2 linked regions of the Coturnix japonica genome follow. The protein of the gene in region 1 purifies or fractionates together with the protein of each later gene. This does not show direct contact. Links are inferred from orthologs where the notes say so. Each region holds a gene or a part of one and is shown in the gene's direction. Other genes may lie near its edges. The genes, in order: EIF3M and EIF3B.

Evidence for each region.
Region 2: the proteins of EIF3M (region 1) and EIF3B purify together in Homo sapiens (affinity purification with mass spectrometry; 8 studies listed by BioGRID and IntAct, counting the BioPlex papers as one, with this or other methods). This does not show direct contact. The link is inferred for Coturnix japonica from reciprocal best matches to the Homo sapiens genes EIF3M and EIF3B.

The regions. Positions count from the first base shown.
Region 1 is NC_029520.1:4,350,877-4,354,814, reverse strand, and holds the end of EIF3M (eukaryotic translation initiation factor 3 subunit M), read left to right. Parts: exon of another isoform or gene 1-1,996; coding exon 1,997-2,140; exon of another isoform or gene 2,141-2,614; coding exon 2,615-2,675; exon of another isoform or gene 2,676-3,094; coding exon 3,095-3,215; 3' UTR 3,216-3,363; downstream 3,364-3,938. UniProt on the Homo sapiens protein: Component of the eukaryotic translation initiation factor 3 (eIF-3) complex, which is required for several steps in the initiation of protein synthesis.
Region 2 is NC_029529.1:3,192,652-3,196,475, forward strand, and holds part of EIF3B (eukaryotic translation initiation factor 3 subunit B), read left to right. Parts: intron 1-256; coding exon 257-414; intron 415-1,264; coding exon 1,265-1,396; intron 1,397-1,487; coding exon 1,488-1,554; intron 1,555-2,087; coding exon 2,088-2,134; intron 2,135-2,835; coding exon 2,836-3,046; intron 3,047-3,642; coding exon 3,643-3,715; intron 3,716-3,824.

The DNA.
Region 1 (3,938 bases):
TGGTCTAATTCTGAGAATAATTATGCTCAGAGCTTAAAAATGCTGGTATTCTGAGTACTAAAATGATAGTTTTTGGGGTTTTTAAGATAAAAATCAGTAAGTTTTCAGTAGTTTGTAACTGTGTGTATAGGATAGTGTTATCTTTTGTCTTTTTATCTGAACATTAACTATAAGGATGTTTCATACTTTCTAAGAGGAGAGGGGTTGTTTTTTTATATATATACATATATATATATAGAAATTACTTTTATGTGTTGAAATGGTTTATCTGTTCAGTACTTACCCATGGAAGTATTTGATGAAAACACAGTTATATCTGTACGTCATACAATAATCACGATTTATTTTTCTTTGCCTTCCTGTGTCTGTGTTTAATTCCATGAATACAAGGTCTACATCTTTTCAATAAGTCTGGTATTCAGGTTATACTAGTAAAATCCTTAAGTATATGTATAGCTGTTTTGTAAAACAACCTTCCCCTTACCTTGATTTCTCACCTTTATGGCACACTCAGAGAGTTTTGATTGTCTTTCAGCTATGAAGGAGGTAGAGATTCTGAAGTAGTTCAAACTGGAATGCTTGGAACTTGTTCTACGTCTTTCACCTATGCCTTAAAAAAGAAAAAAGGCAGATCAGTATAGAAAACAGTATGATTGTTAGAGGAGGCATTCAACAATTCTCTGAAACACCTGGATCTCTTCCCCAAAACAAGTGTTTTTAATCATTCTCTTCCTCAACATTTTCTCAAGTATTGAGCTTCAAAATAAAAAAGGATGTTGTTGATTTTGCAACAGATCTAAAATACTATTAGCTTTACTTGGATCAGAACCAATTACAATTAGTCCAAGAAAGATGTGCAATGAAGGCTCCTACAGGTGGCATCAGTTTGTTACAATTTGTTGTTTTATTAATGCTGACAACTTGGGCCAGCAGTAGCATTATCTGTGTCAACTGAATCGCCCTAACATGGCCACATTTAATCTGGTATCATCAGCAGCCTTTTTCAGAAAGTTAATCAGCATCTCATTTGCATTTGTTAATTAGGGTTAATGTACGCTAATTGATTTTTTGATGCTTGTAGATTTCCATTAAACTTGGTTAGGTATATTTTCTGATGCTTCTCATCCATATGAGTTATAGTGATCACATTTTTGTTGAATTGGTGCCAAATAGGGAGCCTGCATCATAATTACAGCTAATTAACACAACATGATGTCCTCTGCTAATGTGCTTTCCTATTGGAGTATGGATGTTATAAATTCCAAACTTAAATATTTACTGAAGCCATGTGGATGCTTATAATGTCATTCCGAAACCAAATGATTGCCATTCATCTTAAAGGAACTTCCAGTGAAGCTTAGTTGGTGCCCTGGAGAACTTGATAAAGAAAGGCTTTGGCTTATCCAGGTGCAGCTCTGTTCGCCTGCACTTTTACAGGAGTGAGAACTCAGATTTCCATGTGCCAAGCTCAAAGTTCAGTTCTTTGTGTTGCCATTCATGCTACCCTGCAAAAGATCTGACACATCTTAGCATCTCTTTACATGTACTTGAAGAACACTTGCTGCAGAACCATTACAGTTTTTTTAAGCACCTACCTGAGAATGAGCAGTGAGGCTGGAGGAAGGCTTTGACATCACCAGTTATTTTTCTTGCATTGCATGGCTCTGTTTCCTGTTGATCCAACTAAAAACATCACTTGTGCTCTTACCACCCGAGTTCTGTAAAGATGATGTCCTTAGTGGTTCAAAAAATCTCCACTCTCCTCTTTTTGGATGTTCATTTTCATGATGAATTAATAACTAAACCAGGTGTTTTTAGCAGAACACGAGGAGGATGCAGAAATAAATATTACCTCAAAAAACATTGATAAAGCCAGATAGGGTGTTTTCATTATGTGAAATTCTAAATTACTGCAAGGATATATAGTAAAAACCATGAAAAGCAAATTAGATATTATTGAATTAATATCCATAAACTGTCAATACTTTTCACACAGGCTTGTTGCATGAACAGAATATGGCAAAAATGAGGCTACTTACTTTTATGGGTATGGCTGTAGAGAATAAAGAAATATCATTTGACACAATGCAACAGGAACTTCAGATTGGAGCTGATGATGTAGAAGCATTTGTTATTGATGGTAAGAACTGTAACAAAGTACTTTATACAATGCTAATTAACTATACCTTATATAATCTTCTGAGTTAATATTAAATATTGAAATGTTTTATTCTATTCCAGTATAGATGTATCTGTAAAACTTCTGTGCTTGAATGTACAGCTGACATTGAAAGAATTGCTTTCTCAGACATGGGAAATATATTTCAAGTAATTCTGCATAATAAATCATCTGCAGGTTTAATTTGTCACCTGGTTTTGTTTCCTGCCATTAAAGCTATTAATTTGTAGGGGTATTTATTATTATTATTACACGTTTCTTTAATAATTTAGTTTGGCATCAATAAGAAGAAGATACGTCCATCTTACAACATCATTTTGGATTTCTGCCTATTAGATGGTTAAAACTCTCAGCAAAAACATTTTAGGAGGCTTAAGCAATGTAACATCACCTTGTCTTGAAAATAGGGCTTAAAACAGCATTTCTTTTTTGCAGCCGTAAAGACAAAGATGGTGTACTGCAAAATAGATCAGACACAGAGGAAAGTAGTTGTCAGGTAAGACTTAATTCTTCATAGCATTTTGTAGGACTTAGTGTGTTCTAATTATTTCACTTACAGGTGTAGAATATTTTAACTAGAGTCGAGGTATTGTTCCTATCACTTGGTGGTAGTTAAGTAGTTGCTATTTATCATAATTTTATTAAAGCTCAGACTGAATGTGATTAGCTTATGTAATGAAAGAGTCCTATTTTCCAGCACATTTCATTTAATGACCTAATAGTGACAAGAATACTAATGACTATTGTTGCTTTAAATATTTGGGAAGGCTGCAGACTTCTGTAACTGGTGAAGTGCAGCATTTTACAGAAAATAAAAACTTCCCTGCTCGTGTGTGAGATTGAAGTGATGCTGTAAAAGAATAGTTAGGTGAGTATTACATCTAGTAATCATCTGATTTTGTTTTACTTCTCTAGTCACAGCACACATCGGACTTTCGGAAAGCAGCAGTGGCAGCAATTGTACGATACTCTAAACACCTGGAAACAAAATTTGAATCAAGTCAAAAACAGTCTCCTCAGTCTCTCAGACACCTAAAGAAAGTATAACCTGGAAATGTCCCGCTATAGATACATTATATTCAAAACCTTTGACCATTTGTGAATGTTTCCAAAATGTGTACAATTGGTTTAAAGGAGACAGCATTCTAAATTGCAACAGAAAAGCAATAAAATGTGGGAAAATCTCTCGTTGATTTTCTTATATAATTAGAAATAAGTAACAGTAGCAATACCTTGTTTCTTTTGTTGTTGTTTATTAAGTTTTCTCATATGAAGATTGCTCTTTGACAAGAGGTGTGGGGTGGAAGGGAGGTAGATGAGGAAAGTAACAGTGTAAGTAACTGAAGTGAGAGGTTACTATTATCCTGAAGGAGGAGAAATGTGAACCAGGAATGAAACTTGGTAAGTGAGTCATACCCCTTGTTTTAGTGAGGAAAGAGGCAGTATTTAGACATAATCTACTACAGCAACCCTAAGTGGCGTGAGTCTAAAGAACAATTATACTTTGAAACAGTTACAGCAGTGTTCAAAAACAGAGCAGTCTGTCAACCCAAACTGAACTATTTCAATTAGAAGTTCTGGGGAGTGATTTAATATTACTTACAGGTTTATTAAAACATTTCACTTGTGAACTTTTAACTTCAGGCCAAATTCATAACAAGTTAAAACGTGAAAGTACATGAATATACACTATATAGGAATACCTCTACCAGCTTGTCTTACAGAAGTGGTTTATCCACCATGTTTAACTGTCACCTCC
Region 2 (3,824 bases), on another chromosome or scaffold:
AACCATGGTTGTTACTGTCCTTGGGTAATACTTTTGGAGATCAGTAAGACTAAACAATCTCAACTGAAGAATGAGTAGTGTAAATTGTGTGTGAAACTTAGCTCTAAAATGGTTTAACATCACTCAAATCTTCACTGAGCAAGTGGGTTTGTGAAATATGAGCTTACTAACCACATGTGGAGTCCTTTCCCTTTAGTTATTGAGCATGAAGTTCAATGGCTTTATATCTATATTTTTTTGTTTTTATTAATTCCAGCGGTGGACAGAAACCTACGTACGTTGGTCCCCAAAGGGTACCTATCTGGCTACATTCCACCAGAGGGGCATCGCACTTTGGGGTGGAGAGAAGTTCAAGCAGATTCAAAGGTTTAGTCACCAGGGAGTGCAGCTTATTGACTTCTCACCCTGTGAAAGGTATGGAGTATGATGTTGGTTTGGGGTAAAAATGTGAAGCGTGTGTGTTCTGCCTGCTGTGTTTACAAATCTTATGTAACTCAGGTCTTTAGTTCTTCTCTGTCTTTGTTTTTCATACTTAGATCCTTTTCAGAATAAGGGAAACTCTGTCAAACTTTGCTTTGACTTCAGGGAATATACTTAATGTAATCTGGAGTTCCTGTTCAACGAAGCCTGCCAGTTCAATTTTGTAGTAGTCGTTATTATCTGAGGGAATGGTACTTTTTTTTCTCCTTGATCAGATGGGATGTCTGTAGTATTAGACTTCTGTCTCTGTGGAAAAATTTAGCTGAGGAGCATCTTCTACATCTGTAATATTGGAATTAATACTTGAGTTCTTTAGGGAATCATTCCTAAGTCATTCTAGGACTGAGATGCATCTTACTAGTTTTCGAGTAAGATACTTGGAAGCAGTGACATTTTGTTCTTCATACTTGAAAGAGATTATTTATCTTTAAATGGGGATGTCTGGCATACTTGTAGTTCAGGTTGGCACAGGTTATGAGTTTGTATTTGATTTGAAGTCAGTGATGTTCTGGTCACAAAACTACATAGTAGGTAACAACGTGACTGGGGAATTTTCCCTTGTAAGATCAGTACAAGAAAACTCTTGTAAATCTAGAGGCTTTTCAGTGGAAGGGATGTTAGGAACTACTGTGCCTTGGAAGCTTTTTCCTCACCTCTAGAACATCCTGTTGGAGGAAGTGCTGTTTAAAAGTGCATCGTATTTGAATAGTATTTAGATGAAAGCCTGCTTGTACTCATGTACTGAATCAAATTTTAGTAGTAAAATTGATTATTTCCTTTATAGATATTTGGTGACCTTCAGCCCTTTGATGGACACGCAGGATGACCCACAGGCTATTATCATCTGGGATATTTTGACTGGGCAAAAGAAACGAGGATTCCACTGTGAAAACTCAGCTCACTGGCCTATTTTTAAGTAGGTTGCAAAGCAGCATTAGAGAGCGAGCAGCCCAAGACTTTGTTTAATGAACAGGCAACTCTTTAGCTTATCCTCTTTTTTTTCTTAGATGGAGTCATGATGGTAAATTCTTTGCTCGAATGACTTCAGATACCCTCAGCATTTATGAAACACCTGTAAGTTGTTGTTTTGTTTCTGTGCAGTGTTTATTGCTGAACAATGTCTGCATTTATGTTTTCTAAGGAATGTTTTAATAATGCACTCTAGAGCTTAAAATGGAAGAAATCCATTTGTTCTTTATTTATTTATTATTCCTAGATCAAAAACTAGCTGAGCCTGACAGCAGCGTTCTTACTGTGCTTCTAGAAAGCCTGGAGATCTCAATATAGCAGTTAACAGTATCATTGTTATGTGATACCATTCAGGTATTAGTGATGGATGTGTGCCAGAATACCCGAAGGACATAATAAACCATAGCAGAGTCTGTTTTATGTTTTTATTATAGTATAAGCTGCTATTCATTAAAACAATCATTGCACAGAATTAGTCTTATTGGTTGTTGTGTTATATGTAATTGTTATTATAAGGGATAAAGGATCTCTCAACACTGTCCACAGTTTCCTGGTTTATTCTCTTACACATAAGCCTTCTGCTCTTATTGTATGTGCAAGAATGTTACTTGAAAGTTGATAACTTTCTCTTCTTTTAGTCCATGGGATTGTTGGACAAAAAAAGCCTGAAAATCAATGGGATAAGGTGAGTATATCCCTTTCTACAAGTAACTGCTCTGTTTTGTCTTTATGTCCAGGTCTTCTAAATAGTGAAGTGAATCTTTATACTGACTAGAGCAAGTAGCCTCATGCTGAAGTGGGCAAATCAGACAAACTGGCCAAAAAAAAGAGCAAAAAGCTTTCCACTTCAGCTGTTAGCTGTGTACTTCAATCTGTACCCAGAAATCTTCTTTGTGGTAATATGTAGTCTGGTATCCAACTTGGCATCCTGGTTCTTCATCTACCAAACCAAACTGGAATGCAGTTTGTGTAATACCTTTTAAGACTGGTGTGCTGCATGCTGTCTGTTGGCAAGGAACTAGTTTGGTTTTGTGCATACCTGCACAGTAAATGCTAAGTCCTGTGAGTTTTTTGAGGTGCCTTTTGGAAGACAGTTATATAATTCAGCATGCTCAGGTGCAGGAGGATTGTCTTCTCTATAATTTCACAGAAGGAAATTATCTTTAGTGAATCTTACTGTTTTGGTAACAATGATGTAGCAGGTTTGAAGGGCAATTAAAAACATGTTATGTGTAAGGTTAGAAACTCTTCAGTTGCTGCTCTGTATACACCTTTTTACTGAGAGTTGATATTTGTCTGCAGTTCTCAGAACGCTGAAAGTAGTTTCTGCTTGTAGTATCTCTAACTAAAAATTAAAATAGATTTCATCTAACTTCATTCCTGTAGAGATTTCTCGTGGTCTCCGGGTGGTAACATAATTGCTTTCTGGGTGCCTGAGGACAAAGACATCCCAGCAAGAGTGACCTTAATGCAACTGCCTGCCAGACAAGAAATCCGTGTGCGGAATTTGTTCAACGTTGTAGATTGTAAACTACACTGGCAGAAGAATGGTGATTACCTGTGTGTGAAGGTAGACAGGACTCCCAAAGGCACACAGGTGTGTAGACTGTGATTGTGTTCATAAAACTTGGTTCCTTTCATGCTCATACTTCATAATTTTTTTTCCCCTTCAATATTGTCTTTCAACCCAGTCAGTGTAAATTGTACAATGGAAAAATGAAGGCAGCTTTGACTGCTGAGTTTGAGGCGTGTAGAGAGCCAAATGTGTGTCATGTTTGCATCCAGCATTTGCTTTCAATTTACTGATGTAGTGGAGTTAATTCATATATATTTTTTAAAATGAGTGCTAGGTCTCTTTCCCCGCTCTCTGTAAAATCAGTTGTTGGAACCATAGGCTGTGCTGCAGAATGTACCATATGTTCTATCTTCTTCAGCTAAATTTAAGTCTGAAAAAAAATACCATATCTAATCCTTCTGTTATTCTTTAACAGAACAAAAAGATTAATGGTGTGCTTGGTAATGAGCACTGTTTGTCTGTTTATTAAAGAAACAAATCTTGAGCCTTGACTGTCATCCTGAGTTCCCTTGGGCCAATTTCATAGCCATCCTTCTATGCCTGCTGATTTAAAAAACAACAAATTGTTTGGTCTGCTGCTTCTGTATTGATTAATGAGCTGATGTTGGCCTTTGCAGGGAGTAGTGACCAACTTTGAAATATTCCGAATGAGAGAGAAACAGGTGCCTGTGGATGTGGTGGAAATGAAAGGTAATTCCAACGTTCTGATATTTAACTGTTCAAGCTGGCCTTTGCTTTTGGTACATGTGGTACATCAACGTGTAACATTTGTTGATGATAATTAGGGCGCTTACTCTTG